Cricetulus griseus: one gene and its partners. The protein of the gene in region 5 interacts with the protein of the main gene of each other region in a biochemical or structural test. Links are inferred from orthologs where the notes say so. Each region holds a gene or a part of one and is shown on either strand. Other genes may lie near its edges. The genes, in order: Cyth2, Arfip2, Htr2a, Cyth1 and Arf6.

Region 1 (6,252 bases), on a different chromosome or scaffold from region 5:
GTTCTGAGGGGCCAAAACAGGTTAGAAACTCCAAGCCCTGGAGACTTCTCAAGGGATAGGGAAGTCATCAATGGGTCATTCATGGGAGAAAGGGGTCACACTGGGAGGACAGGGGTTCAGAAAACAGTAGAGATAAGAGTGAAGAAAAAAGATGAAGGGATAATGGTGAGGAACCCTGTTAAGTTCTTTGAGATGATGGAAAAAAGAGCAAGACCCACCAGAGCCTGAGAGGAGACACAGGAAAGAACCAAGGGCCAGACAGTACAACTGGGAACAGAAGAGGAGGTCATGGCTATGCCATTGTGAGCAGTTCAGGCACTGGCAGACCCTGGAGCACAATGGGTGGTGAGGCTGGAAGATGGGTGGGGTTGGGAACAGTACTGACCCTGAGCAGATCCTCAGGCAGGTCTCCGCCTTCATTGATGCCCCGGTTCATGGCCACAAAGCGCTCCAGGCCTGGCTTGTCCCTGACGTTGGGATTGTGAAGGCTGGTGTTCAGCATGATCACGGCAAAGGACAACACGTAGCAGGTGTCTGTACCAGATAAAATAAGGCAGCTGGTGATGACCCAGGACCTTCCCAAACTCTTTGTCCTGTAGCCTCAAAGTCTGGGAATCCAGATCCCAGCATCTTCCCTCAAACGCAGTCCAGATTTCAGCACTTTTTCTACAGACTATAGGTCCAGGCCTTGCCCCCTGGTCCTACCTGTAGACTGGAAGACCCCAGGGTTACACAGGCAGTATCGCTGGGCAAAGGCCTCCATCATCCGGTCAATTTTCTGAGCCTCTCCAGGGAGGCGAAAGCTCCATAGGAATTGCCTGGTTAGGGGAGAAATTGGTCTGGCATAGGTTTCAGGGCTGGGAAAACACTCTACTTTCTTAAGTCTCTGTCAGAATCGGACAAATCATTATCCAAACCTTGCCCATTGTGATGCACACCTTGAATCCCAGCACCCAGGAAGGAGGGAGAGGCAGGTGGATCTCTGTGAATTCGGGTCCAGCCTGGTCTACTGAGTTCCAGGCCAATCAGGGCTACACGGTGAAATGCTGTCTGAACCCCAACCCCCCAAACAAACAGAATCAAAATCTCTTGCCCCAGCTGCTATTTCAGTAGGCATGTAATTTGATCAGACCAGTAGGTTCTGGCCATGGATTCTGGTGGATCTATAGTGGAAAAGTCTTTTTTCTACCCCGAGTTGGCTAAACTGGACTGGGGTTGCCAGGTGCTTTTTTGCTGTCATGTAGGAAGATCCACTGAATACACCAAGAGAAAGCCTGAAGGAGGCCCCATCTGAACTTGTTTATTAGAGACAGTCATTTCCTGACTGTTGCATCTCTGTTGGAATGGTATGTTCCTCACAACTGAGAAAGTCCTGGCAGGTACATTTCTGTCCCATTCTCACCGCAGGGCCTGCACCAGATTAAGGTCGGTGAACTCATGCAAATCCACAAAAGCATGGAGCACAGATAGGTTTAGCTCTTCCCTGGAGGAGGGAAGAGAGAGAGTCCCATCAGGAGGAGTGACAGGAGCCATAGCAGTATCATCTCATTTACTATGCCACCCTCCTGCAGATGAACCTTGTTCTTGTAGCTTGTCAGATCTTTGAGTACACAGACCACCTGATGTCATCTTGCAACTGCTCTCACGCTTCCCAGATGCCTTTATCTCAGAACTGACCTTTGTCTAAGAATTCATAGCTAGTTCCCAGTTGCTATGCAATCACATGTCCACAGGTCTCCAAACACTTGCAGCTCTGACCCATGATAAAAACTTCCAGACAATACTTTCCATATGCTAGCTTGTATATGCGTGGTTAAGCCAGTGACACTCAGACTTCAACAGTGTCCTTGTTTACTGGATGACTACAGGTCCATCTCCCTCTAGTTTCAAGCTCCCTCAGAGCCAGTCAGTCCACTATATCATGACCCAGGTGGAGGCCACAAACCTGCTCTACCCATGAACTCCTATTGAGGCTGGGAGTACTACTGTACAGGCTGGGCAGCTCACCTTTCCCCGAGGTAATCCCCAATGGCTGTCTTGTTCAGCCCCTCACCCTTGTACAGGAAGCGGGCAATTTCCTCAGGTGTGTTCTGCAGAAGTTCGTGTTCTACCAAGAATTGGATCCCCTGGATGGAGGATGCCAGATTTATGCCAAGGCAGAGGCTGCTGCTCCCCATCCAAGCCTCTCCACCCTAACAGAGCATGGTCATCCCTAGCCCATCCTCTCAACCTCTGCCTAACTGATTCCGGCATGTATAGCTGGAACAGGTTTGAAGAATAATTGAATACATGATACACTGTATAAAAAAAGAAGCAGATACCTACCCATCAAGCTGTAAACACAGCACCCCTCCCTTACTGCCATATCTCACCTTGAACTGTAGCACTTACACCTAGGGGGATCCCTCAGAGTAAGGCAGGGTCTTAGCATTCCCAGCATTGCCCAGCACAGGACCGGGCTCCCAGAGGCCTCAGTACATGAACATTCATGGAACAGATGGACAGGGATCAGGAGTCTTGCCTAGAGGAAACCTATTATCTTAACACTTCTAGAACCTAGGATATCAAAACCATGCCTGAATATATCTGCTCAGCTAACTAACCTTCTTGGGGTCCATGTTGAACTTCTTCCTGCCCATTGCCATCTTCCGGTTCCGCTGCAAGGTCTTACTGCAAAAGCAGGATGGGCAGCAGCCAAAGGTCAACACTTGAGCATCCAGGGCCCTGGCCAAGCCCTGTGTCCCACGAGCTCGCCACAGTCCTCACCTGCCCTCATTGGCCTCCAGACCCTCCACCTCACTCATAGCTTCACTCAGCTCCTCTCGCAGGCGCTGGATCTCCACCAGCAGCTCCTGCTTACGCCGTCGGATGTTCTCTAGCTCCATGCGCTCCTCCGGAGTCAAGTCTGGGGGCTCTAGGAGTCAGGGTCAGGAAATGAGTTCTGGGGGGGCCAAGATTAAGGCTAAGAGCCTGGATTCCTGTCCAGAAGAGAAATGGCTACTACAACTCTTAGGGAAGAGGGAGTAAGACTCTGAACCCTTAGTCTGGGGCAGAAGTGCCTGGGAATCTCATCTCTTAATAGGTCTGGGGATGAACTTCTGGGCCCATTACTTGGAAAGATGGAGCCCTGCCTTCATCATGAAAGTGTGGACCTAAATCTTGGGTGTATTACTTGGAAAGGAACCAGTCCCTGGGCTCCTGGACCCATCACCACAATGAGGAACTCTTGGGATGTTACTTTAGATGTTTTACTTGGATGCCCTGGTTCCTTGGTTCCATCACAGTAGAACGGGAGGCTTGGATATTGAAAACATTACTTGGAAGGACACAGGGCCTTGGGCTCATGGCTCCATCATCGCAAGGGATCTGGGGCCCCAGATCCTGGGTGTATTTCTTGGAAGGTAACAGGTCCCTCCATCATGGCTGATGACCTGGGATCCTGGACCTTGGGTGCATTTCTTGGAAAAACACCAATACTCTGGTTCCTGGGTCCACCACGGTGGGGACCCTGGCATGGAGCTTGGATACATTTCTTGTAAGGAGGCCTGATCCCTGGCTCCACAATAGTGGGAGAGTTGGGGTCCTGAATCCTGGGTGCCTTTCTTGGAAAGGAACCGAGGTTCTGGCTCCTGGATCTGTGGTCTGAATCTTGGGTGCTCAGTGAAGACAAGCCATGGCATCACGACCGGGGTCAGGATCGGTAGGGAGGTCACAGAACCAAGGTTCGCAGCAAGAAAGGCAGCGGCTCGCGCGGGTGTACGTCCCGCCCCGCCCCGCCCCGCTCTTGTCGCTCCGCCCCGCCCCCCCGCCCCGCCCCGCCCGCCGCCGCCGGAAGAGGGCTCGGCCCAAACAATGGCCGGGACCCCCGGCTCTCGGTCGCGCCGGAAGCCCGTTCCGCGCGCACAAGAGCGCCTCGCTACCACCGCTCGGCTGTCCTTGGCGGGGCTTGGGAGCCACTCCGCCCTCCCGCCTCGCCTGGCCTACCGTAGACACCGTCCTCCATGGCGGCTAGAAAAGCCCGCGGGGAGTCCGGGGCGGTTCCGCCGGCTGGGCCTGAGTCCGCGTCGGCCCGCGGGCTCGAGTGAGCCCGCTCAAACGCCCCAGGAGCCACCGCCGCCTCCTCAGCGCCAGTCCTCAGCGCCGAAAAGACTCTCCCTTCACGGCCCAACCGCCCGGCCGCTGGGGCCCGCCCCTCGCTTTGACACCACCCAATCGGCTGCGGGTCTCCCAGACTGCTCCGCCCCCGAAACCACAGGATCATTTCCAGGACCAATAGACACACAAGAAGCGGTTGCAGGCACGTACAGCTAGCGATAGACTGTTAGAGTGACCAATCGAAGTGCGTCCAGGGGCTTGGTCCCGCCCCCGAAACAAAGGAAAATCCCTGGCAGCTTTATCCTCCAATAAGAAAACTCAAAAAGGAGGGAGCAGGAGGTGGGGATTCGTGGAGCAGGGAGGATTGCGCCTGCGCACGAGCCAGACTAAGACGGCCTAACCTTTTCAGAAATTCGTTGTTAGGGGGTGGTATTTGATTAGTCTTGTTGTCAAGGGCGGAGTCTCAACCTTGAGGTGTTTCCTGGGACCACACCTCCTGGCCCTCCACGCTAGCTTTTGACCGCGGCGGTTGCCAAGCAACTGGGAGCCGCACAGTCCTGTCTTTGCCTTCTTCCTCAGGGTACTTCTGTCTCAGGCAGTGGCTGTCTCTGAACTCTTTCCGTACCACCTCACGTGACTTTCCTCCACACCTCAGTCTCCTCAGTCAAAGGATGGTAAAATAAAGGCATTATCCCTTCCAAATGTATTGGGGACCACAAATACCCTGGATCTACCCTCCTGGTGCTTTCTCTCTTTCAGGCTCTTCCTCTCTCCTAAACGCTCGTCTTAGCTTCCTCCTCCTAAAATCCCGCCTTCCCCAGATATTTGCCCAAGACATCCTCTTCCCTCAGAATCTTTTTTTTTTTTTTTTTTTTTTTTTTTTTTTTTTTTTTTTTGGTTTTTCGAGACAGGGCTTCTCTTGGCTTTGGAGCCTGTCACAGGCACTCGCTCTTGTAGACCAGGCTGGTCTCGAACTCACAGAGATCTGTCTGCCTCTGCCTCCAGAATGTGCACTGACTCTCTTGGCAGCACTCCAGGTCTCTGTGGTTAGGTCCTCCTTCCACCCAGCTTTTCAGTCCTCAAAGTCCTGCCCTTCTTAATCGCCTCCCCCTCCCAGAATCCTTTCTGTTTTGCAGGAAAAGCAGTGAGGGTCCTGTCTGTGATGGGGACTCTGGCATATTTGTAAATCATAGGCCCATAATGGGGCTGATGTGACTTCCAGGTCTTGTCCTCATTTGTGTCCCTGGGCTGCACAGGTCGGGAGGATTCAGAGCCAGGACTTGGTTAAGTCTTTGGATTAGTCATGGAGCCTCCTAATCCCCTCTCTGACCTTTATGAGTGGCCTGACCCATGCCCTCCCTTGCTGGAGACCTGGTTGTGCCAATCCTATCCCACCCTCTACTTCCCAATAGAACCACATGCCCCTGCCTCTTTACATCAGCTTAGCAATTTTCTCCACTATGGTCTCCATCATCCCTAGTCCTTCCCTGCCCTAGACCCAGGGGTGGGAGAGCTGCCAGCTAATTAATCCTGTCCGGTTATTACCTGGGGATTCTGAAGGATAAAGCAAGATGAGAGCCAGAGAGGGCATGGGTGGGTGGATTCACTCAGGCAAGCCAGTGCCAATGCTGGCTCTCTGTTGGGAACAAGGGAGAGGGCACTCCCTCCTCCTGGCAGCTCCCCTCCTGCTGGCCACCAGCCTGCTGGGCACTTAGGTGGCTGTACTATGGGTGAAGACCAAGAACAAGGACCAACATTCCAGAAACACAGGCACCCTGCTGGAGCTCCTGAGCCTTTACTACAATGATAGGGCTCCCCTGAGAATTCCACTTTTCTCACAGTGAACATGACCCTGGAGATAACAGCTGCCCCTTCCATCCCCAGCCCCTGACCTGGAGCACTGACTCTTGGTGATAGCTCCTGCTTCCTCTTGCTGGTCCTATAATCTACATACAATATGGAACCAGCCATCAAGTCAGTATCCCCTTCCAACTACCCCTGGAATGCTGTGTGTTTCAGTATGAGGGTGGGGACAGGAAATGTTAGGACCTGCACTGTATCCTAGCCTCCATCAGGTGAAGGGCCATCCTGTTTGGGAGGACCCTTGGAGAACTTCATGCTCTAGTGGCCCTTGTTCCAGGAACTGAAGCAACACAA
Region 2 (6,068 bases), on a different chromosome or scaffold from region 5:
ATCTGGGGGCCCAGCAGGGTCAGCTAAGGCTGGACTCAGGCACCCTTCTTGAGGGGCTGAGCCTAAGCCCAGGCATTGACCAGGGCATATGGACTCTTTTCTGATAGTGCTTTGAGGGTGGGGACTTTCCAAGAAGTCAAAAGAGAAGGGGCAATATGAAGAAAGAAACCTGACTTATTTGCTGTGTCTAGGGTTCTGACAACCCAGCTGAGGGGGCAATTTCTTTCTGTTATGTTCCTGGGACTAATGGCCAGATCCTCAACAACAACAACAACAACAACAACAACAACAACAAAGGCCAGTGATCAGGAAGGTGAACTGAAAGTGCTCAGGTATCAAGGGGCTAGGGGAACCCAGTCCCTAGCCTGGCTGCATCTCCCCACCCACAATCAGGAGAGTCTGAAGGGAAGGGCACTGTCAGATGGGAAGGTGATTTAGGACCAAGGGAGTAGGGCAGCACCTTGTTTTCTTCCAGGAACTTGAGCTTGATAGCCACATCTCCCCGCAGCTTCTCATATTTGTCTCGATGGGTCTGGAAAGTGGCCTGGGCACTCTCAAGTCGACCACGTGTCCCTGCATCCCGGGGACCTAGGCTCAGCTCCTCTAAGTCTGTCCGGTAGGCATCATACTCCAGCCTGGGAAGGGGGTGATAAAGGCTGGTCTCCACCTCTTCATCCATACATGTAACTCTTTCCTTCCTGAACTTGTATGCCCCTAAATGTTCGAATTTTCACCCATGCCAGCCAACTTCCCAAACCTTGAGCCCTTTCAGTGCCCACACCTGGCAGCCTCATACTGTTTGACAGTCATGAGTGTGTCTTCCATGGTCTTGGTGACCAGTGTGTTGATGCTAGAGACAAAGAAGTTCACAGCCCCTAGTAGCGTCTCCCCATTCTTGCACAGCAGCTTCTGCGTCTCTGCATTATAGCCAAATTCCTCCTATGGGCAGAAGGGAGGCACAGGCCTTGAGTAAGAGTCCTTACCTGACTGGAGCTGCAGAGCCCTTTATTTCCTTCTGTCCCAAAGAAGAAACAGCCATCAAAACTAAAACAACCAGACTGCCTCTAGCAAGGCTCTCTTAGCCACAAAGTTAGTAGGGTCGCCTAGGGGATGCCTGGGGTAGGAATGTGGGAGTAGAGTCTTAGGTAAGTTTAGAAGACAGGAACAGGGAAAGCTAGTGCAGCAGGCAGGGGAGGGACTCTGATTAGGCCAAGCACCAAAGGCATTCTTGATGATATGGAGAAGGGTTACTTGTGAGGCACCAGAGCGCCCTCTCCCACAACCCCTCCAACTTTTGGACCTCTGTACAAACCCTTAGGCTGCCTCCATAGGTGAGTGATGCTGGGGGCAGGACTGGGCACACCCCAGAGGGGTTCTCCCTGGGGGCTGCAGGAGGGAGGGAGGGAGGCTGAGGAATGCCTGCCTGGAAGGGCCAGGGCCCAGTACCCCCACCCTCTTTGTTTTGGCTGAGGCACCTGAAGCTCTGGGGACTTCTGGCTGAGGTCAGCAAAGGCATCCCCTAGTGCATGCTGGGTCTGCAACAGGCTGTAGAGGTGGGCTGTCAGTGCCCGGCCCAGCTGAAGGACACTTTCATACTTGCGCTTCGTCTCACGCAGCAACTCAATCTGCAGCTCTAGCTCCAGATCCACAGTCCGGGAGCCTCGGCCAAATCTCTCTGATAACAGCTGCTTTGTGCACTGATTGGGAAGTGGGTGGGAGGTCAGAAATCTAAACTCCACCCCAACCCCGACAAGTAACTACTCCAACACCCCCATTCTCTTAGTCATAGCAAAAGACTATGTATTAAGATCTGGGGAAAAGGAAAAGGTACCCATGGAGAGTTTCTGGGAAGAGGCACTCGACTCTTACCTTATATGTGTTGATGCCCCATTTCTTGACGATGTCAAACTTCTCTCCGGCGATGCCCCGGGCCACCTCATCACCAGGGCCAGAAGGTGAGGTGCTGTGAGATGGATGGCGGCCAGACCCTAAAGGATCAAGTTCTCTAACACCAATTTCTCTCACATACAATCAGATACTTCTGTGACCTCACTTCCTTCCCTCCCAGCACATGAAATGACCTCTCTAAAAGAGGAAATCTAGATAACTGAATTCTTCTGCTCATTAGGGGGAACGGGGACTTAGGTCCCGAAAACCAAAGCAACTCAATGTATGTATTTGGCATTCCTGGGGTCGTGTAGGAGTGTTGTTGGGTGGACAGGGAAGGAAGAAACAGAAGCAAACATGATGAGTGGGACTGGAAGGGTCAAAGCTGGTGGGCACAGAAAACAGGGAAGCTGGTTTGTATTTCCAAGTAGAATTTTAGTCAGTATAAGACTCTTATAAAACTCTGAGAAGCTTCACAAAGTTGTAAATCAGCCTTAAGCTGCAGAGCTCTTGTGACTTATAGGTCTTAACTTGGCTCAGGTGGTGGCACCAGGGAAAGAAAAGACAATTGAGAAAGCTAGAATCTAAATGGCAAGTGGGAAGCAGATGATGAGCTCAGAGAGCTGATCTGGGATTGGACAGTCTATGGATTTCACACTAGCAGTTCTCAAGTTTCTCCAATCCATGATTCACGCTTTCCTATGTGTTCTATGTGCCTCCTAGTCTCCCTCCCACTCAAGCCTCCTGTCTCTTATCATTCATACCTGTGGGGATGAGTCCATCACCAGAGCCCCCATAGCCACCAGACACAATGCTAGTTTCATTGAGGTTGGGTCCTGACACCATCACCTGCTGGAGGTCCTATAGATCAGAGAAGAGGGGGCACTTCAGGAACATGGGGGTGGCTGAAATATTTTGGGGATAGAGACAGTATATAGTAAAGTCTGTATAGAATCATAATGACGACTTGAAAACTATAAGGAGGACTAACTAAATGAAGTCTATTGGGATGGGAAAAGCGAAACATTCAAGAGTCAGGATTGCTAAATTGAAACAATTAGAAGAATCAAACAGAAGCACCTGCTCCAGCCCATCGTCTTCAGGAAGCTGCCCAGCTTCACCATTTCCATGGATTGGGATCTCCATTGTGGCTGCCTTCCCTAGGATCCCGTCCGTCATGGCTAGGGAAGGTACTGGAGTCAAGGTCTCCACCCCAGCACGCTGTAAAGCCCAACACAGACAATTCTGGAAACTGGCCAGCACTCCAGAACAAGGAGGCCTTCCCTGTGTTCTAATAGGTTTCAGGGGTTGTCTGTTAGGACTTGGGTGTCCCTGGAGATCAGCCCCTACTTTCCTGGAGATGTGTATTTCTTCTCTTCCAAGTACATTATTTCTACAGATGCATGTATACCAAAGCCTTGGGTGTCTTCTCACAAACCCCAACCTCACCTTTAGTAACCTTTACACATTCAGTCACTCAACAAACACTTAGTGAGTGCCTACTATGCGTCAGATACTGAGGCAATGGGATTACAGCAGTGAGGGCCAGAGGGGAATGTCTGTGCTCTTTGGGAACTTGGCCCTGCATAGGCATGTTTACCAGAAGGCAAAACCCTTTCCTAGACTCGGATGCTCACTTGCCACTCAAGCATGCTCTGCAATCCCTGGTCTTTCAAATCCTTTGATGTTCCTTCCCCTCTTCCTTCAAATGGTCTCTCCTTTCTCCATCTCATGCACCTGCCTCCCTCAGGCCCTCCCCACCAGGCCTTAGTTGAAGCAGCTGGTGTGTTCCCGGTGTCAGTTAAAAGCTTCTTTCCCAGGACACAGGCAGTCCCTTCCAAAGTCAGTTTATGCCTTCCAGATGTGAGAGGTCCCCTCCACCACCCCCCCACACACCTGGGCATCAGGTGTGTCCTCATCCTTGCCAAGGGCTCAGGGCATCTTGCCCTCCGCACAGGTTCGTGCATTCAACTTCCTTTCGTACAAGTATGTCCTTCTCACCTGGGCCGGGCCACTCTTCCCCTCAGGGCGCGAGGGCCGGACCGCGCGGGGACCTCGGGTTCCAGTTCCCGTCGCGATCTTAGCAGCAGGTCAGAGATTCGGCGGAAGTGACGTGCCCTCTGGGCAGAAGAAGCCGGCCACGTCGCAGAGCAAAAGGGCGGAGGTGACGTTAGCAGACATGGGCTGGGCGATACTGGAACCACGCCTTGAAGCTCTTGGTGACTAGGGAGAATTTACTTCCGGGGTGACTCCGCGCCCCCAGGGAGGAAGTAAAGTGGGCTGCGTGCCCCGAGCGTGATGGAGCAGCAGCAGCAGCAACTAAGAAACGTGAGTAAGAGCTAAGTTGTTCTCGGGGTTAGACGTGCGGTTTGTTTTCTGGGGTACATGCAAGAACCCCCAGTGGGGAAGGCAGGCTGCACTGCGCACGCCAGGAACCCTCAGCGGTGGTGAAGCCTTGATCCGCTTTTCTCTTAGTTGCGAGATTTCCTGTTGGTCTACAATCGGATGACAGAACTGTGCTTCCAGCGCTGTGTGCCCAGCCTGCACCACCGAGCTCTGGACGCTGAGGAGGTGGGGACTGTGGGGACCCCAGAGGTTGACAACGTGACGTGTCCACCTCCCACCCCCCGTTTGCATCTCGGTCTCCCATGACCTCACCCCTAGGCTGGGGCCCCGGAGAGGAGGGCTTGACAGGACCCCTTTTGGTCTCTGCTTACCTCTGTCTTCCTTCCAGGAGGCCTGTCTACACAGCTGTGCTGGGAAGCTCATCCATTCTAACCACCGCCTCATGGCCGCTTACGTCCACCTCATGCCCGCCCTTGTCCAGCGCCGCATCGCGGACTACGAGGCTGCCTCGGCCGTGCCAGGTGTTACTGCAGAACAACCCAGAGACTCGCCATCAGGCAGCTAGCCATCGCCTGCCCCAGGAGAGAAGGTGCTTGGATGGGCTCCTCTATGAACCTTGGGCTTGTCGAAATTTGTACAGAAAGATTGAGCCTGAAAGCTGGGCACTATTGCTCCTTTTCTTGGAGCCAATAAACCGGGTTTTTACTCTGGTTGATTTTCTGGGCAGGAATTTATTTATGTCCACTTATTGGTACCAACCTTTATTCTGCCATTTAGTGCCTATCTTCTCCCCTCAGCCCTGGCAGTTGAGAAATTGCCTTCTGTAATGTAGTAGGACAAACTCAGCATTCTCAGATCCCCAGCAAAAACATAGTTTTAAGGTTAGTAATAGCAATGGGAAATTGGTTCCAAAAGGGGAGCTCTCAGTGGCTATCCTTGAGCCTAACTCAAATGCCTGAATATATATTGCATAATAACTAGTTTTCTTCTGAGCTGTAATACAAAAAGAATTGTGCTGCATCTAGGGGAAGAATGTGATATCAGACAACAAGAGGAAGAAGAAAACAGCACCACAATAGGCTTTAGCCACCAATTCTTAGGAGATCAAAGATAAGCCTGTAAGAATGTGGGAATATTGTCTAGAATTTCAATCATTTCCCCAGTTTACCATCTTAAATATTTCCTGTCTTTGTGAAATCAGCAATAAGGACTTTAAACAAAGAAGGGTTTTCTTCTTGTCTTCAAGGCAAGTCAGAAGGCCTACATTAGTCAAATCTAAAGAAGAGAAATCAAAGGGAAAGGTAGATGGTGATAGAGGGGTGGTTAAATATAATCTGTGTGGCTCCTAATGCTTCCTTAGTGTTTCACTGTTTGTCTGGAATCTCCTAATTCCAGCTCTCTACCTTCCATCTTACATTGTTCTCAACCGTAACTGATCCAGCCTCTCTATTCTTGTTTTGTTACTGCCCCCTCATTTTGTGGGGTTCACATCTGTATTCAGGAGGATACCTCCTTTCCTGGCCCTGCCTTTTCCGTGATGTCATCTCCAGTATGAGGACAAGGAAGGAAGGAGGAAATGGCATATACTACCATGTGGGGCTTCAAGGATAATGGCAGGATGCAGGGCAAGCAACAGTATGGGATGTGCATTTGTTATTGTTGTTTTACTGGGGGTTCAACTCAAGGGCTTGTGCATGCCAGGCAGGGACTCTTAACAACCTAAGCTACCCATTACCTCTTCATTGCTTAATCCCATCCCATCCTTTCACGTATGGCAACAGCTTTCCTTTTTTACCAAGGAATTAAATTTTAAAATCCCAGCCAAAATCAACTAT
Region 3 (5,577 bases), on a different chromosome or scaffold from region 5:
CAATGACCAATTAAGTTGTCATTTTTAAATGCAAAGATCTTATAAATTTATTTTTATATCTTTAATAACTAAGGAACTGCTCCACTCATAAGATACAGTACATAGATCACTGTGGAACCAAGCTAACCCATTTTAATAAATAATATAAATACATTTAACCTGAAAGTATCAACTTTAAAAAAGCCTATATTTATTTATTTTCTTTTGGGGGCAGGGTTTCATGCAGTCCACACTGACTTGATAAATAGCTGAGAATGACTTTGAATTCCTGATTCACCTGCATCTCCCAAGGGCTAGAATAATAGGCATGCACCACCTTGCCCTGTGGATCCAAGCTAGTGCTCGCAGTGCTGGGGAATCCTGCATGCTAGAGGAACACTGTTATCATTGGAGCTATATCCCCAGCCCTTTGAAAACATCAGTTTTACCTGATTAAGTGTCAATAAGAAAGTCACTTGACTTTTTTTTTTTTTTTCAGAAACAGCCTAAGAAGCTACTGCTAACAGCGAGAAACCTGAGTTTATTGTTTAGCTGTGGCAGTCAAATCAATGTACTGGTCACAGCTCAAAGGGCGCATGCACAATGCAGTGGTCCCACAGTGCGTGACCAAATACCTCCAGGGTGCTGTTTCTTTGAAGCGCGTTCTAGAACTGTATTTCGAAAAGCAAAATTATCCTTTGATAGTTTACAGAGAGGAAAATATACGAAACAAGATCACATTGCAAATTCAGGTTAAGCCCAAGAAGTAGAAGAGAAAGCAGCACGTTATTGAGTAACATTTAAAACCCTTCCACATCTGAGAATTAAATGACAAATGCAGCAAATGCCAGCGATCTTGTGAACATTTCAAAATGGCATCTATGAAAAGGCAAGAATGAAAAATATTGTCAAGTATTTCAATTAATTTATATTAGCAATACAAATTTCATAATACTATTTTTTATTTTCAAAATATGTGTCATGGTGAATTTTAAACACTTTTTTAAAAGAGGCTATTCATTATTTTAGTATTTCTAGCTATTTTTATATACAATAATAGTTCACCAACTCACTCCTGCGCCACCCATCAACAACATGGCAGCAAGGTTTCAATTTGAATAATAGAAATTAATTAGATTGATTTTATGCCTCATTGTAATTGTACAGTAAAGTACAATGATCTTAAAGATCTCACTGACAAGGTTAAAAGGACAATGATAAAACCATAACACTCAGCTCAAATGCCGTCAGGACATTGTCCAAGTGCACATTTTGTGGTACACTGCTCTTCATACACAGAATACAATGAGGCATATAGATTCTGTTGAGTCACTGGAGTAGTCTAATTTGTCCCAGCCTCCTTATTCCCACCCCCACACACAAGGGCTAAAAACTTGTTCAAGTGCCAGCGTCACAGCAACCAGTCCGTCACACACAGCTAACCTTTTCATTCACGGTGTTGATATTGTCTGTACAAGTCTCTTCTGATTGTTGTTTTCCTAGTGTAACCATAGAGCAGTCATTATCTGTCGGCTCAGCGTCTTCCTTAGAGTCCTTATTTTGTCCCGCCTGGAGCTGACTAGACTTGTAGGCCAACGCCGGTATAGTGTTCACTAAAATTAACTGCAGTGGCTTTCTGTTTTCCTTGTACTGACACTGAATGTACCGTGAGAAGGCAGACCTGTAAGTCTTATTGAACAGTGTATAGACCAGTGGATTGACAGCCGAGGAGAGGTAACCAATCCAGACAAACACATTGAGCAGGGCTCCGATGACATGTTCGTTGCAGGACTCTTTGCAGATGACGGCCATGATGTTGGTGATGAAGAATGGGCACCACATTACGACAAACAGAAAGAACACGATGCCCAGCACCTTGCACGCTTTTTGCTCATTGCTGATGGACTGCATCGTCCTTCTGCCGGTGTAGGAGCCTGGCTCCCTGTGGATGGACCGCTGGAAGAGCTTTTCGGATGACAGAGAACTCTGAGGCAGGAAGCTGAAGGAGGCTAATTTGGCCCGAGTGCTGAGGTCACTCACACACAGGGTGGCTTCTTTCTGAAGGGACTTGATAGTGAGGAAGTAGGTGATCACCATGATGGTTAAGGGGATGAAAAATGCCACAAAAGAACCTATGAGGACAAAATTGTCGTCGGCCAGCAGGCAGCTCCCCTGCTTAAAGACCTTGGAGTCATCCTGCAATCCAAAGACTGGGATCGGCATGGAAACACCTGGAAGGGAAGCAGGGTGAGACACGTGATCAAGCAATTGCGTATATGAAGGTGAGAGTATCACTACAAAATGCTGGCTGGTCAAAGAATTTATACCACCTTACTTTAAGGTTTAATATATTACTGCAATGAGAGTTGGGCTAATTCTTACTCTATAGTTTTTCTGATTCTATTTTGGAGAAAACATACACAGAGGCAAAATGAAGCAAATAAAAAATGACCACTAACACCTCCATCCAGAGACCAACAGACAAACTTCCGTGGGCAATTTAATGTTGTTTGTCTTAAGCACGCATCACACACATCACGCACGCGTGCACTCACATACTGGGAAGAGGAACAAGCTTCTACTTTATCTACTATTTTGCAATTTTCCATTTCACATTATATTTTTGGTTGCGAGCCTAGCCTTTAACGGCTGAGCCATCTCTCCAGCCCCATTTCACTTTATATTATCAGCATATCTTACTTTGTAAAGTTACAAGTCTAATATAGTTCCTTTTTAGCAAATCTGAGAAATATTTAAAAAGTAAATAAATAAAATAGCATTTATTCTCACTGCCAAGGGAACATAGGTTACATTTCTTTTGTTTACACAGTACTTTATAGGCAGTTTTAGATCTTCCTTTCCCATTTTATATTCATTATAAGACTGAATTGCTTTTGCTTGCTGAGACAGGGTCTTACACTAGACCAGGCTAGCCTCAAACTCACATAGATCCCACTTCTTCAGGTTCTTGAGTGTATTTGCCAACATGTACAGCTTTAAAGTTAAACAAGTTTTTAAACTATTTTTGAAAAAACACTTTCTGATACTAATTTCAGATAATCCAAATGAATTTGGGTTAGCTTTAAAAAGCTTTTATCTTGGAGAAATTTTAACATCTGCAAAATCCAAAAAGAACAAAGGCAAATGTTGTCCCAGGGAAGCCTTATAGCATTTACACTTGTGAGCTCAAAATGAATGTTGTGTCATCTTTGTCTGGGATGGTCCTCCTTGTTGTGAAGTAAACCTCAGACATCACATGATTAAACAGGTATACATCTTATTGTGTAGATCTAAAAGTGACACACTTTCAGAGAAATCTTCGATCACATACTGGCTTAACCATGAAGAGAAACTTACTGTTTCCTTCACATCATGAAATATAGAATTCGTGTTCAGACTTCTCATTGTTTCATAAAAGTCATATATATTCACAGCAGAATACCTGATAGGATGAATTACCGAAAACAAGACAGCAGCAGACTTTTATTGTCAAATGTATGACTTAGGTACACTGGAACATGGGCTTGCAGCCAGTGAGTTGCTCTATGCTCAGATTTGGAGCATCTCTAATGGTCCTTCAGGTACACGCTCAGGCAGAGGAGTACAGCAGCGAGGAAATATCACAGCTGGCTCTGATCATGCTAATTTTTCCTCATGGTGATTGGACCCTACTTTGTGAAGTTTAGCTTGACCTTGATGGGAAGTTTTGTTCCTATTTGGAGCTCAGGCAATTTGAAAGAGGCTGATTAAGCCAAAGCAACCATGGTTCACTTCTTGTTATGTTATTTTCTCTGCCACAAAGGCAGAGATGGGAAAGGAGAAGAAACAACTGCAAAACTCACTCCAAGTTTGCCTCTTTCACCAAAGGATGGACAGAGGCTTTGTTTCCTTCCTGCACTTTTCCTGTATTTTCAGTTTCCCAAGTTGCCTGATAGAGGGCCCTGGTGGTGCTTTCAGAGGCTCTGTAGCCCCAGATGCTGCTCTCAGGCCAGCTCAGCACAGAGTCAGGGGCCACTGCTTAACCCCTGCCTTGCCATCCAACAGGAAAAGTTTCCTTTGAGGACGTGTACTACAAACACTGCAGCAGCAGTAACAGCAGCAACGACAAAACAAGAGACAAATAACCAAACTCTGCATGGTCAGAAATGAGTTTGGCGCTCTCCAAACACCGGTGTGGCTGTCCTAACATTCTGCTGTTGGGAGGGACAGTAGCTGGAACTTAAGAGTGATATTTCGCAAGAACATCTGTCTGTCTCCCCCGCCCTCTTGTGTGTGTGTGTGTGTGTGAGAGAGAGAGAGAGAGAGACAGAGAGAGAGACAGAGAGACAGACAGAGAGAGACAGAGACAGAGACAGAGACAGAGAGACAGAGAGACAGAGAGAGAGTGAGAGAGAGAGACAGAGAGAGACAGAGAGAGAGAGAGAGAGAGAGAGAGAGAGAGAGAGAGAGAGAGAGAGAGAGAGAGCGCTTGCCCACCATCTGGGGCCATATTGGAGCCTAAGGCTGCCATCCTCCTTAATCACTTCCTCACTTTATGTTTTGAGACGGGAATCTCTCACTGAACCCAGAGCTTGCCATTTAAGCCAGACTGGAAGGCCAGTGCCCCCTGATCTATCTGTTTCCATCTTGCTAGTCCAGATGGCCAGTGAGCCCTTGATCTGTCTGTCTCCATCTGGTCCCTCCCTTTTGCTGCCATGCCCAGATTTTTGCATGAGTATTTAGGATCCAAACTTGGGTCCTCATACTTGCCCGGCATACACTTTGCCCCCTGAACTGTTTTCCTAGTCTGATAAGACTCCCTTTGAGTGTCATTTTCCCATAACTCCACAGTCTCTAATGATAATATTTGTCACTTGTCTATGCAAGATCATTCCAGATTTTTTTGTTTGTTTTGTTTTGTTTTTGGAAGGTGAACATAAATGACATCCAGTGATAATTTTTGTGGTAAATAACTCTTAATTTATTGCCACTGTGTCCCTGCCACATTGTTGAGGACATCCTCTGAGCCAAGAGTTATGACTGTAGGGGAACCCTCCTCTGAGACCTTCTGATACCTCACCAAATTTCAGAAAACTAACCCTAAAAGATAACCTATGATTTATAAGAGAGCTTTCTTTTTCTGCCAATATTTGAACTCATATCTGTGAGAGATGCTTCTTGTAGTCATCCAGTCTCATTATACAGACTCCCTGCTTACTGATTAGAATGGATACACTGGACATCCATTTCAGATGGGTTTAGATTTGAGTCTTGGCTATGGCTCTGGGCTCCTGGGGTGATTTTCAGTTCTTCTATAATATGAGGCTGGTGCCAATGTGCCTTCATGAATGGAATGGGGATAAAATGGATCAAATATGCAGAGCACCAGGATGGTGCATGACCCAAAGGAGATAGAATAACAACTGAAAAGCAGGTGGCAATAATTTTCCTGGTGTCATTACTGAGAAAAAAAGGTATCAGCAGTGTTTTATTTTAATTTATTTTGTTTAATCTTTCTATGCTAGCCTTTATATAACAGAGTTTATAAACCAAAAGAAGCAAAATAGTGTTTTGGCTGCTTACTATTGGCTATGTAACAATGATGTAATTATTAGCTTT
Region 4 (5,577 bases), on a different chromosome or scaffold from region 5:
GGGTGGGGTAGGGAGAAGGCGGGAGGGCAGCAGGGAGAGGGAACTGGAATTGGAATGCAAGAGAGAAAGAAAGGAAGGGAGGGAGGAAGGAGGGGAGGAAGGAGGGGGAGGAAAGAAACGAAGGGAGGGAGGAAGGAAGGAAGAAAGGAAGAGAGGGAGGGAGGAACTGCTCTTTGCATGGACTCAGCTCTTGTCTTAGAAATCCTCACTGCCAAGAAGAGAACCTTGTAGAAAAAGCTCTCCCGACACAACACTGGCACAGAGGACTCCTCACTCACCTGTCGACTGGAACACCCCATTATTGCACTGACAGTATCGCTGAGCAAAGGCCTCCATCATTCGGTCAATCTTCTGGGCCTCTCCAGGCAGCCGGAAGCTCCACAGGAACTGCCTAAGGGTAGAGACAGGAGCTTTGCTTTGACCTGACCTGCTGCTGCTGAGGACAGCAGCAGAGGACAGCAGAGGACAAAGGAGGTGAGGGGCTTCAGTCATGTGACAAGTCTCCTGGGTACAGTACCACAGGGTGATTTCTGCAGTTACTACATGTATTAAAATCATAGCTCAAAGCCTGGAGAGATGGCTCAGGGGTTAACAGCACCCACATGGTGGCTCACAACCATCCGTTATGAGATCTGGTGCCCTCTTCTGGCCTTACAGGGATACATGCAGACAGAACACTGCATACATAATAAATAAATAAATCATTAAAAAAATCATAGCTCAAAAAAATAAGCTCAGGATTTATACCTACAGCAGAGAAAATTAAAAAGACAATTTCTTTAAAAGGCACAGAATAAACTTGGTTAAAAAATTAAAGTTGCTGGGCAGTGGTGGCGCACGCCTTTAATCCCAGCACTCTGGAGGAAGAGGCAGGAGGATCTCTGTGAATTCAAGGCCAGCCTGGTTTACAGAATGAGGACAAGCCAGGGCTAGATAGATAAACCTGGTCTTGAAAATTAAACAAAAAAAAAAGTTTGTCTTTTTTTTGTTGTTCAATTTTAAAATGAAATACACAACTACCTAGTTTAGGGTAAGAAATTAAAGGTTTTCTATTCTGAAGAGTAGAAACAATTTCAATATTTGATTGATGAACAGTCTTTCCACCCCAAGACCAAGACAGTCCTAGCGAATGGTTTCCCACTCAGGCATGTATGTTACATGGCCTCCCTTGGAATACTTGAAAGTAGTCACAACAACCCCAATGACAGGACTTTGGTCAGACAGACACAGGATGGACACACTCCCACTCCACGGTGCCTGGCTGACAACACCCACCTCAAGGCCTGGACGAGGTTCAGGTCGGTGAACTCATGCAGCTCCACAAATGCGTGCAGGACCTGGATGCTGAACTCATCTCTGTCAGGAAGCCAAAAAGAGACAGGGATGGAGCACAGGTGAGGTCGTGGACACTAAGGCCAGGACCCATCCTGGTCCCAAGCAGATGGTATCCTGAGTCCCAGGCCACGAGGCCTCTCAAGCCTGAACATCCACAGTTGGGAGGACATTGGCCTGGCCCTCTTTCCTCACTAAACAAGCCAGGAAGCTACATAGCCCTGGACGGGTGAGTGCTCCTCAGAGCACCTCCACTCAACACCATATGGCCACTGCTGCACTAGCATCCCACAGTCATCCCACGAGCTTGGGCACCAGGGGGCTTGTTCTGACCTGATTCTGACCACCCTCTCTAAAGGCCTCACCTCTCCCCAAGGTAGTCACCAATGGCGGTTTTGTTGAGCCCTTCCCCTTTGTATAAGAACTGGGCAATATCTTCACAAGTGTTCTTCAGCAGGTCATTCTCGATTAAGAACTGGATCCCCTGCAGAAAGAGCCGGTGACAATGAGGAAGGGTAAAGGCCGCCGTGGGTGTGGGCCCTGGAGCCTGTGTCCAGGAAACATCCACCAGTGGACACAAGGATGGAGTATTGCAGGTTAGGAACCGGAGCCCCAGATGCAAGACGGTAGGGGGAACCACCCAACAGTAACTCCAGAAAACAGCTGCTTTGAACAAACTCATCCAGTCTCCATCCCATCACCAAGAAAGCCCCCACCTTAAGACCTGGGCAGGGGCTTTGTCCCTTTCTTTTTCACTTACCTTTTTAGGATCCATGTTGAATTTCTTTCTGCCCATGGCTACCTGTTTGTTTCTCTGCATGTTTTTCCTGAAAGAGAAGGGCAGCCATCAGTGCCCTGACTGCAGGGCATTCTGGGGGCTGGAGCAGTCCTCACACTGACAGACGCGTGGTCAGCTGACGCCCTGGCCCAGGCTCAGGCTCAGGCTCATTTGCCTCTTTCCCTCTAGACTCATGGTTTCTCTTAGAATTTTTATTTTCTTAAACTTTGTTGTCTACATATTGTAGAATCTGTCTGTTTTGAGTATACACCTGGATGGCTTTTAGTAAGCTAAGTTGTGCAACAATTACCATAACCAGTTTTAGAACACTTTCATCAGTCCCATAAAATTAACCACACCCGTTTCCAGTTCACCGACATTCCTACTTCGAGCCCCAGGGACTCTCAGTCTATCTTCTAAGCACAGATCTGCCTAATTCTGGACTTTTCATATATGCAGAATCACGGAGTGTCTGGACTTCCGTTCCCGGCTTGTTTAGCTCAGCATGCTGCCTTCAAGGTTCGTCAGCACAACACTCCTGTCTACTGCTGAGCAGCGTCCCTCTGCACATCTACCTCTATCTGCTCTTCAGACGACTGATGCAGAGTCAGGTTTGGGGTCACTACCCACAGAGCTGCTACAGAAGCACCTGCCCACCTTGTGGTCGACATGTTTTCCTTCAGCAAAGTCAAGGTTGTATATAGATGAGTTATGTACTTTTTTTTTTTTTTTTTGGTTTTTCAAGACAGGGTTTCTCTGTGGCTTTGGAGGCTGTCCTGGAACTAGCTCTTGTAGACCAGGCTGGTCTCGAACTCACAGAGATCCACCTGCCTCTGCCTCCCAAGTGCTGGGATTAAAGGCGTGCGCCACCAAGCCCGGCAAGGGTTACGTACTTTTTTAAATTTAGCTTTTTAAGATGCTGTACAAATAAGCAGCAGTTTTCTTAGCTGTGCCTCAGACTAAACAAGTGCAGGTTACACACTTTGCTTCTCAGGGTGTGGTTCCCGAACAGCTGAGGGAGCAAGTCAGACATGCAGAATACCAGCGCTCATTCACACACATGCTCCTGGGCCCTGACAGGAGCTCTGTCACCCAGTGGTCTGGGAAGGGTTCAGGGCTCCTGCCCATTTGTTCAGTCCCACAGACAAATTGGGTTACAGGTTCTGGGCCACTGAGTGACCCCATTTTATGGGTAGCATCTAGGTGATATTTAAACCCTCCTGTCTGGTATACTCTTGAGAACCAATAGCAAGTTACAGTTTCTGAGCAAATGTTTTACTCAGAAATAATTTATTTATTGTCTTAAGGAGCACCTCAGCACTGGCCAGATCCCCCAAAGGTAGAAAAGTCCCTCTGTTCTTTTCTTTTTTCCTGGTTAAGACAGGGATCATTCTGTAGCTCAGGCTGGGCTGAAACTCACACCTCTCCTCTTGCCTCTGCCTCCCAAATGCTGAGATTACAGATGTGAGCCCACCATGCTTGGCCAGGCTGACTTGAGGTTTGGAATGAACTGGTGTAAGTCTCAGGTTAGTTATCTAATTATGTTTTCCCTAAATCCAGGAATATTACTGTGATCCATATTTCAAAAAAAAGGAAGGAAGGAAGGAAGGAAGGAAGGAAGGAAGGAAGAAGCTGCTTGGTGATTTCCTATAAGAGTGTTCAATACTTGGAAATCCTACAATGGCAGGGCCCATTACCATCCACACTGGCCCTCGGCATTCTTTGCCTTGGTTTGGTTCCTTCCTGGAGGCTTTCTGGCCTCTGGCAAGCCCAGACTTCAGCAGTACACTCCCAGATCTCTGCCAGCCACAACTGGTGCTTCTGACCACCCTGGGCACCACAAGGGTGACTGGCTGACTTCACTGGTTCCCATGAATCAGCTCCTATCCGTAGCCATCCGTAGTCATAAGCCATCTGTAGTTTATGACTGCCTGGTATACTCACAGGATGCAGCCAAAGTTCCCAGCTCTGTGAGTCAGCTCCTGTCCCCTACCTGTCTAGCATTGTTATTTGTGACTGACGGCCCAGTCACTGTAGTTGTCTGGTTAATGTTGTCAGTGCATATGGGTCAGCTGTCCCAACTTCAGCACAGCCTCCCTTGGGTACTAGCTTTAACAACTAGGTTAACTTGAGAAGGCTTTACGACCCGTAGTATTACACTGTCTCTACTTCTTACATAGCATTTGGAGTCACTGCTACCGAGTGCTAATCAGGCCTTTGATTGGAAGCATGACAACCCACCCATGGAAAAGCCAGAACGAGTAACAAACCCCGACTACACAGATGCTCAGAATCTCCTGGAAAGCTCCCCTTTCAGGGTCTGCAATCCTGGAAAACCAGTTTGCGCTCCAGTTTAAACCATAAATCACTCAAGTGTGGCTCTGGGCTCACAGACGCACTGATGAAAGTCCATCTTCTTCTTTATGTGGCCTTTAAAATCTTTTTATTTATTAATATTGTTTGTGTGCACCTACATAACGTGCATGTGTGGGCGTGGAGGTCAAAAGATAGCCTTGTGGGGTCAGTGCTCTCCTCCCACCGGGGAACAGAACCCCAGGGTCACAAGGCTTGCAAGGCAAGCACCGTTGTGTGCTGAGCCATCTTGTCAGCTCTTGTGTGTCCCTTTGAGGGCATTTTTCACACTTTAAGCTTCATCAGATGACGGTGTTGCTTGTTTATGCAAAACCACGGGACCCTGCTGTCCACTCAGACAGAACATCTCCAAACCAGCCATGACTGTCTAGCTCACGATGGGCAGATCAGGATTGCATGGGAAGAACTGAGCCCCAGTGAGCAGAAACCTGGTTTCTTAAGTTCACCAGCTGAGTGTTCTCAGTGCCTCACTGCCAATACTGCTGGAGTCTGGTGCACACTGGGACCATGGTAACCCCAGAAGCCCACGCATGTGCGATGGCATCAAAAGACACAGAAAGGAAGTGTACCATGATATTAATCGTGGTTCTCTCTGGGCTGCTGCTGATGGGAAATCTGTTTTCTTCGTGCTTCTCCATCTTTTTCCAGCTTACTGCAATAAACATGCATTCCTGAAGAGTGAGATGACTCAGCAGCACAGGGACTTGCAGCTATGCTGACAGTCTAAATCAGTCCCTGGACCCACACAACAGGACACAACTAGTTCCAGAAATCCTTCCTCTGACTACCTGTGTGCTGAGGCATGTGTGCCCACTTCCACTAAATAAGTGCATAAATAAAAATTTAAGATAAAAATTCCACTTGGCAGGGCTCCAAAGCTACACAGAGAAACCCTGTCTCAAAAAACCAAAAAAAAAAAAAAAAAAAAAATCACTTAGAACCAGGAAAAGCCATTAATTTGCTTTTTAATTCAGTGATAGTTCTCATTCAGTGAAGGTTCACACCCTAAGTGCCCCATTCACAGTTGCGACAGGCATGCATGCCCTGGCCACCACCCCAGATAAAGCCTGCTCCCATCTTCCCACTAGGTTCTG
Region 5 (6,205 bases):
TCCTTACAAACACAATTTTGTACTTTCAAAATGCTAAGACTGTAATTTGAAAAAATAGACACCTGCAGTGGAGATGGCTTATAGCCCTAACAACTTTAGGATGGAGCAAGGATCACAAGTTCAAAGTCCACCTGAGCAACTAAATCCCTATCTCAAAATGAAAACTACAGCAAAGAGTCAAGGATCCAGCCAGCAATGTGGTGGAACACCTGCCTAGTCTTTACAAAGGGGAAGGGAGGCCTAAATACCTTCAGTTGTCACAGAACACGGATTGGTAAAATTAAAACAGAAAACACCTTAAATAGCCACTATTTAGGGGAGAATCTTTTTTATCTTTTATAAGTCAGATGAGTCTCAAATTCACTTTTTACCATATATCCTGGAAAATAACATAGCCCAAGATACCAGTACATCCCACTTATCTACTCCAAGTAACATAACGTGAGAAACTGCACTGTGTAATTCCTTTATTTTCTGCATGTTAGTGCTTCAGCAACACTACAACCATAAAGAACAATTCCAAGGACTGTACTTTTTAGCTGGGGGAAGGGGGAATCACAGTCTACAGACTCATTTACTTATATTAGACAAGATTAACCTCATTCAGAACTTAGCAAGTTTATAAATTCACACAAATACAGAAATTGATGCAATTAAACAAAATCTTTAGGACCTTATTTTTGTAATTCTTCCATTATAACTTTTTCTGCAGGCTCTAATTTCCTGCTTCATAATCACCAATGGTTATGGTTCAATTTAACTACATCAATTATAAACCTTTTATATATACTCTTAAAGAAATGTAAGTGAAAATTACAGTTTCTTTCCAAAAGGTTTAGGTTTTCTTCAAATTTCAAATGTTTCCCCCCTCCCACCCTTTTCAGACATTTCAAATAAACTAAAAATAACCCATCTCACCTGCAACATTCAGTAATAGCAATCACTTGTATAAAATTTTAACTATGCCCCCAGTTATTTTAAGACACACAAAAAAATGGCTGTCTACCAATCTGTCTGTCACAAGTTAGAATACTACATTTAAGAATCAACATGAGGGTTTCAAGTTTCCTCCAGTTTAGGCATTTATACCTTTGTGCTTATTTTGTTTCAGGATGTTACTGTAGCATTGATATTTGTATAACCATATTTATGTACCTTAAAATGTAATCATTTAAAACACTAAGAATTACATTTACGGTGGAGCTTTGGGAATTTTTAAAAGCAACTATAATGTTCTTAAATATGTGAATCAGCTTCATTTCTAGAGATATTTTTATTAATGTGAAACTGAGAACTTTAGGTTTTAGTTGCGTCTTGATTTCAAAATCCCTCTGCACCAATAGGAGCCTACAACATAGCACCTTTTCTCATCTGCTTTTAGTTAGTTTTACTTACAGCTCATTTTTGTATAGCCTTCTGTTTCTCATACATCTTTGGTAAAAGCTCCATTATACAATATGGCCAAAACATGAAGGACCAATACTGTCCAACGATACCATGATATCCGGCTTGACTTTAGTTTTCAGACACCCTCATAAACAGAACCATTCCACCTTTTCCTGTATCCTGCCCTGGCAGTCTACATTTCCGAAACTCCCTAAGTTTCATTCCTTGAGGATCACTACATTAATCCTTAAGGCTACACAAGAACCAGATGCTGCTTCACAATTCTGAATCAACATTAACATTTGGTTCAAAATTATCACCATAGTGGTCTCAATCTAGTAACTGGTCCTAACCAGCTCATCTTGTTAAGATCTGGATATCACCAGAGAGCACAATGCTTACCCTTAAAGAAAAATAAATTTACATTCATTGTCATCTGTAGGTTCTTTCTCGTCATCCTACTCCCTGTGTCACCCCTCCAGTCTCCATCACTCATTCAGCACATTTCTTCCTTAAAGGAGACGATCTACGACTGAACCAACAGGATATCTATTTGCATGAGTTAATACTACAATCAAGCAAAACTAAATACCTTTTTTTTAAATAAAACATCTTTTCCAGTGTTTTAATTAATGGAGATGTAGATCACTCATCTATTTAAAAAAAAGTCATATATCTTCAGTTTAATCAGTTGCTGTAATGTGAAAACAGGAATGTGTATTTTTTTTCCAGCTAGGAAAAGGTGCATATAATTTGACTTTTTAAATGTTTTATTAGTGAACAAAGTAAATGTTTAGTAATTTTAAAGCTACTTGTCTTAAGAGATTTGAAACAAGGTAACATATGCCGATTTTGCCCGAAAGTCACTTAAAATATCTACAAATATTTCATCTGTGTGGCGTACACCATTATTGCTCCATTTTCTGGAAAGAGTCTATTTTTAAAGGAAGAAGAGAGGGAAATAGCAAAGTTACTAACTTTGCAGTTTAAAAGATCTGCCCCCTTGTAGAGGTGAGTTGTTTTATGCAGCGTACGTTAGCTATGGTGAGGGAACTTGAGTTTACTCCTACTCATGCACTTTAATAGCTGACACCTGAAGGGATTCCCTACATTACCTGTTTCACACACTGATGTGCAACTGGAACATTACACTGGTATTACTCATTATTTTGCCACTGTGGGCTAAGTTCACCATACTGGTCTTGGATATAAAAGGTCACATTTGAAATTGCTAAAGTTAGCACTAACAAGGAAAGGGGGAAGGCCTTAAATATAAAAGACAAACGGCAGTTTGATTAAGCAATAATTTTCAGTTTACTAGATGAAACAGACTCGCAACATAGTCTGCATGAATGCAAAATAAGCCATCTACAGCAAGTGGTAAGAAACTGGGCAAAAAGGAAAAAAGCATACATTGGGGGGAAAAAAAGATTCTCTCGACATAAAAAAATCAAACCATTATTATAAAGGATTTTACCAAGAGCTGCTATTACCCCACCCCGTTTGCTGGAAGTCACAAGAGCATCTAGCACTGTTTTCGTGTCAAATATCAGATCAGAGCATCCTAACGCAAAGCCAAAAAAAAAAAAAAAAAAGAAAGAAAGAAAAAAATAAAGAAAAAGAAAAAGAGGAAACCCCAACCCCACTAAACCGTAGAACAGTAACTCCAGAGTTCAGATTCAAAAAAGAAAGTGGCAATTGAAAGAGGTTGATGATGGTGGCGATAATCCTATGAATGGGTTTTTGATTTCTCTCCTTCCGGGGGATGGGTGGAGGATGCTCATTAGGATTTGTAGTTAGAGGTTAACCATGTGAGCCCCTCATAGAGTCCGTCCCCGGAGGTGGCACAGGAGGGCTGCACATACCAGTTCCTGTCCCGAATCCGGGTCAGGCCCAGTTTCTCCTGGATCTCATGGGGTTTCATGGCATCGGGCAGGTCCTGCTTGTTGGCGAAGATGAGGATTATGGCGTCCCTCATCTCCCGGTCATTGATAATGCGGTGCAGCTCCTGGCGGGCCTCGTCGATGCGGTCGCGGTCGGCGCAGTCCACCACGAAGATCAGACCCTGGGTCCCGGTGTAGTAATGCCGCCAGAGCGGCCGGATCTTGTCCTGGCCGCCCACATCCCACACGTTGAACTTGACGTTTTTGTAAGTCACCGTCTCCACGTTGAAACCCACCGTGGGAATGGTGGTCACCGACTGGCCCAGCTTCAACTTGTACAGGATCGTTGTCTTGCCGGCTGCGTCCAGACCCAGCATGAGGATCCGCATTTCCTTGTTCCCGAAGATCTTGGATAGCACCTTCCCCATCGCGTCGGAGGAGCCGGGGCCGGGGGCATTCAGGTGTCCCGGGTCCCCTCAGCCTATAACGCCGCCGCCGCTGCCGCCGCCGCCGCCGCTGCTACCGCCGCGAGATCGAAACGGAGCCGCCCCCGCGCGAGGACGCCCTGCGTGCGGCCTGCGCGAAGCTGCCTGCTAGGGGCAGGGGCCCGGCCTGCGCTCACTCGGGCATCGCCCGCCGCCCGGGCCCTGCGTCTGCGCCGGGGAGAGCCGCCGCCCTGCTGAGGCGAGGCGAGGCGCGGCCGGCCCGGAACTGCCCTTCCCCCGCAGGCGCCGCCGACAGCAGCTCCGCCGCCGCCTCGGCACGCGGCGGCTCAACCGCGGCCCTCCCGCCGGCCCGCGAGCACCGGGCTCGCCACCGACCCGGGTCACCCGACGAGGAGCGCGGCTCCGCGCCCCGTCAGGTCATGGATCCTCGCGGGAACTCGGTGCTGCCTGCAGGGACACAGAGAAGGGAAGAAGGGAGTTACCGCCGGGACTCCGTGGGTGCGGAGGCCGACGCGGCCCGCCGGTCGGGGATCGGCCCGGGAGGGTTACCTCCAGCTGCCGCCGCCGCCGCCCCGAGCGCGGGTTCCCTCCGGCCTGCACCTCCTCCTCCTCCTCCCAGCTCTGCCGCCGCCGCCGCTGCCGCCGGAAAAGGCGCCGAGGAAACCGCCTCACTTCCCCTCCCGACTGCGCGTGCGCAACTCGGCCCGACCGTTCGGAAGAGCGCGACCTCAGTAAGGAGAGTGGTGGCCCGCGCGCCCAACGTCACGGGCGCCACGCGCCGGGGGGCGGGGCTACGGCGGCTCGCAGGACCCAGGGAGGCGCCTCGCGGAAGCCCGGCGGCGCGGGGTTGGCGACGCGCCCACCTGTCGCTCTCCCGGGGGGTCTTCCCCGGTTTTTTCCTCCTCCGCCGCTCGGAGGCGCGGGGTGCAAAGCCGCTTGCGGGGTGGGCGTCGTCGGCGCTGGAGACCGACGCCCCCACCCACGCTGCCGAGGCTTGTTCCCAGACTCCCCGCGCAACGTCCCTCCCGCTCGCCCCAGCCTGCCAGCAACACGGTCTCCTTTCTACCCGGTCGCCTCCCGACTTCCTCCAGCTTCCTGGAAGACACGTGGGAGGTCGGCGTGCCACCGAAGCCGTCCGTCAAAGTAGCCCTCACTTTTTTCTAGTCTTGGGTTTGCTCCGAAACCCTGCTTTGGAACGTTTAAACTCCTTCTCTTTGTAAGTCTCGTCGGAACCGCCCACGTTTCTTAGGAAAAGAGTATCAGGGCCGACGACAATGAGGACCTGTGCCCCAGGCTCAGAACGCATAGGGTGAAAGGAGAAAACTCCCTTAAATTGACCTCTGGGCTGCACGAACAATAAGGAAACCTATTTGGGTTTTGTTTCGGTTTTTTTTTTTTAATACTTTCTCATTTAGTGTCCGTGTGCGCAGGAGAGGTCAGAGGACAACTTGCCAGAGTCAATTCTTCCACCATGCGGGTCCTAGCTATCAAACTCAAAAGTCATCAAGCTTGGCGGCCCCCACCTTCACCTGCTAAGCCAGCTGGTCCTGGAAACATTTTTTGTATTAAATGAATAGTGTTAAGGTTAGAATAGAAACTTTAAATATCAAATAAGGGCAGAAATAAACACAAGGGGAGAAAAGAAAGTTAAAAGAAGTTGTTACAACAGCGTTTGATAATAATACTGTTTCTATTTTGTAACCTAAGAAAATCTGTAGCCACCAGCGAGACAAGGTGGCTCAGCCTGTCCCCGAACTGATGAAAGTGAGGCATAAATTCTAGGCCAGCCTAGGCCTAGGCTGTCACCATTTGACACGTAATACATTTAATGTTTAATTCAGGCTGGAGTCCCAGGCTGGCATCACATTCACTGTGTATAGCTCAGGATGTTCTTGAAATTATTATTCTCCAGCCTCCACCTCCGAGGAGAGGGGATAGGGTTAGGATTACTGGTGTGACCCCACTTATGGAACAACCGGTACTTGAATCCACACCAGGCTTTTCACTTGGGTGCTGACTGAAGGTTTGAACTCTGGTATTTGTGCTTACAGAGCAAGTGCTTTTTAGCCTCTGAGTCATCTCCCCAGCCCCAATAACAAACTATTAAAGAATAATTATAATACAAAACAATTAACAATGGCAAGAACATAGTCACTGATAGTGAAAATTTTAAACTTGGAATATCATGCCACTTTCTAAAAATAGGTCAATTTGGGGGCTGTTTGAGATGGCTTAGTGATTAAAGCACTTGCCACCACTCCGGACTTGAATTCAATCCTTGAGATCCACATGGTTAAAGGAGACCTTATTCCCACAAGTTGTCCTCTGAACTCCAGTAGCTCTCGCCCCCCCACACACACACACACGAAACACCGAATAAGACCTATTTTTAAAAATGTAAGGTGGTGTGTGCCTCTGACCCCAGGGCTCGGGAGGCACAGGCTGATGATTATCTGAGGCCAGCCTGGTCTACAGACCAAGCTCCAGGAC

The links.
Region 1: the proteins of Arf6 (region 5) and Cyth2 form a complex in vitro, tested with the Homo sapiens proteins (3 studies listed by BioGRID and IntAct, with this or other methods). The link is inferred for Cricetulus griseus from reciprocal best matches to the Homo sapiens genes ARF6 and CYTH2.
Region 2: the proteins of Arf6 (region 5) and Arfip2 form a complex in vitro, tested with the Homo sapiens proteins (2 studies listed by BioGRID). The link is inferred for Cricetulus griseus from reciprocal best matches to the Homo sapiens genes ARF6 and ARFIP2.
Region 3: the proteins of Arf6 (region 5) and Htr2a form a complex in vitro, tested with the Homo sapiens proteins (2 studies listed by BioGRID). The link is inferred for Cricetulus griseus from reciprocal best matches to the Homo sapiens genes ARF6 and HTR2A.
Region 4: the proteins of Arf6 (region 5) and Cyth1 form a complex in vitro, tested with the Homo sapiens proteins (2 studies listed by BioGRID and IntAct, with this or other methods). The link is inferred for Cricetulus griseus from reciprocal best matches to the Homo sapiens genes ARF6 and CYTH1.

Annotation. Positions count from the first base shown.
Region 1 is NC_048599.1:154,706,736-154,712,987, forward strand, and holds the start of Cyth2 (cytohesin-2), read right to left. Parts: upstream 4,195-6,252; 5' UTR 4,004-4,194; coding exon 3,985-4,003; intron 3,766-3,984; exon of another isoform or gene 2,915-3,765; coding exon 2,767-2,914; intron 2,671-2,766; coding exon 2,604-2,670; intron 2,127-2,603; coding exon 2,008-2,126; intron 1,484-2,007; coding exon 1,403-1,483; intron 819-1,402; coding exon 706-818; intron 535-705; coding exon 386-534; intron 4-385; coding exon 1-3. UniProt on the Homo sapiens protein: Acts as a guanine-nucleotide exchange factor (GEF). Promotes guanine-nucleotide exchange on ARF1, ARF3 and ARF6. Activates ARF factors through replacement of GDP with GTP.
Region 2 is NC_048596.1:94,062,570-94,068,637, reverse strand, and holds the start of Arfip2 (arfaptin-2), read right to left. Parts: upstream 4,039-6,068; 5' UTR 3,889-4,038; exon of another isoform or gene 3,784-3,888; intron 3,109-3,783; 5' UTR 3,067-3,108; coding exon 2,968-3,066; intron 2,749-2,967; coding exon 2,652-2,748; intron 1,989-2,651; coding exon 1,870-1,988; intron 1,698-1,869; coding exon 1,476-1,697; intron 940-1,475; coding exon 782-939; intron 636-781; coding exon 461-635; intron 3-460; coding exon 1-2. Other genes in the region: Timm10b (mitochondrial import inner membrane translocase subunit Tim10 B), read left to right, coding at 4,186-4,215, 4,363-4,458, 4,622-4,798. UniProt on the Homo sapiens protein: Plays a role in constitutive metalloproteinase (MMP) secretion from the trans Golgi network. May have important functions during vesicle biogenesis at certain cargo subdomains, which could be predominantly utilized by secreted MMPs, such as MMP7 and MMP2.
Region 3 is NW_023276807.1:229,100,752-229,106,328, reverse strand, and holds the end of Htr2a (5-hydroxytryptamine receptor 2A), read right to left. Parts: intron 2,211-5,577; coding exon 1,408-2,210; 3' UTR 461-1,407; downstream 1-460. UniProt on the Homo sapiens protein: G-protein coupled receptor for 5-hydroxytryptamine (serotonin).
Region 4 is NC_048600.1:130,747,159-130,752,735, forward strand, and holds part of Cyth1 (cytohesin-1), read right to left. Parts: intron 2,160-5,577; coding exon 2,093-2,159; intron 1,817-2,092; coding exon 1,698-1,816; intron 1,357-1,697; coding exon 1,276-1,356; intron 392-1,275; coding exon 279-391; intron 1-278. UniProt on the Homo sapiens protein: Promotes guanine-nucleotide exchange on ARF1, ARF5 and ARF6. Promotes the activation of ARF factors through replacement of GDP with GTP.
Region 5 is NC_048598.1:133,996,604-134,002,808, forward strand, and holds Arf6 (ADP-ribosylation factor 6), read right to left. Parts: upstream 3,878-6,205; 5' UTR 3,698-3,877; coding exon 3,170-3,697; 3' UTR 451-3,169; downstream 1-450. UniProt on the Homo sapiens protein: GTP-binding protein involved in protein trafficking that regulates endocytic recycling and cytoskeleton remodeling. GTP-bound form plays an important role in the transport of multiple palmitoylated proteins form the Golgi to the plasma membrane.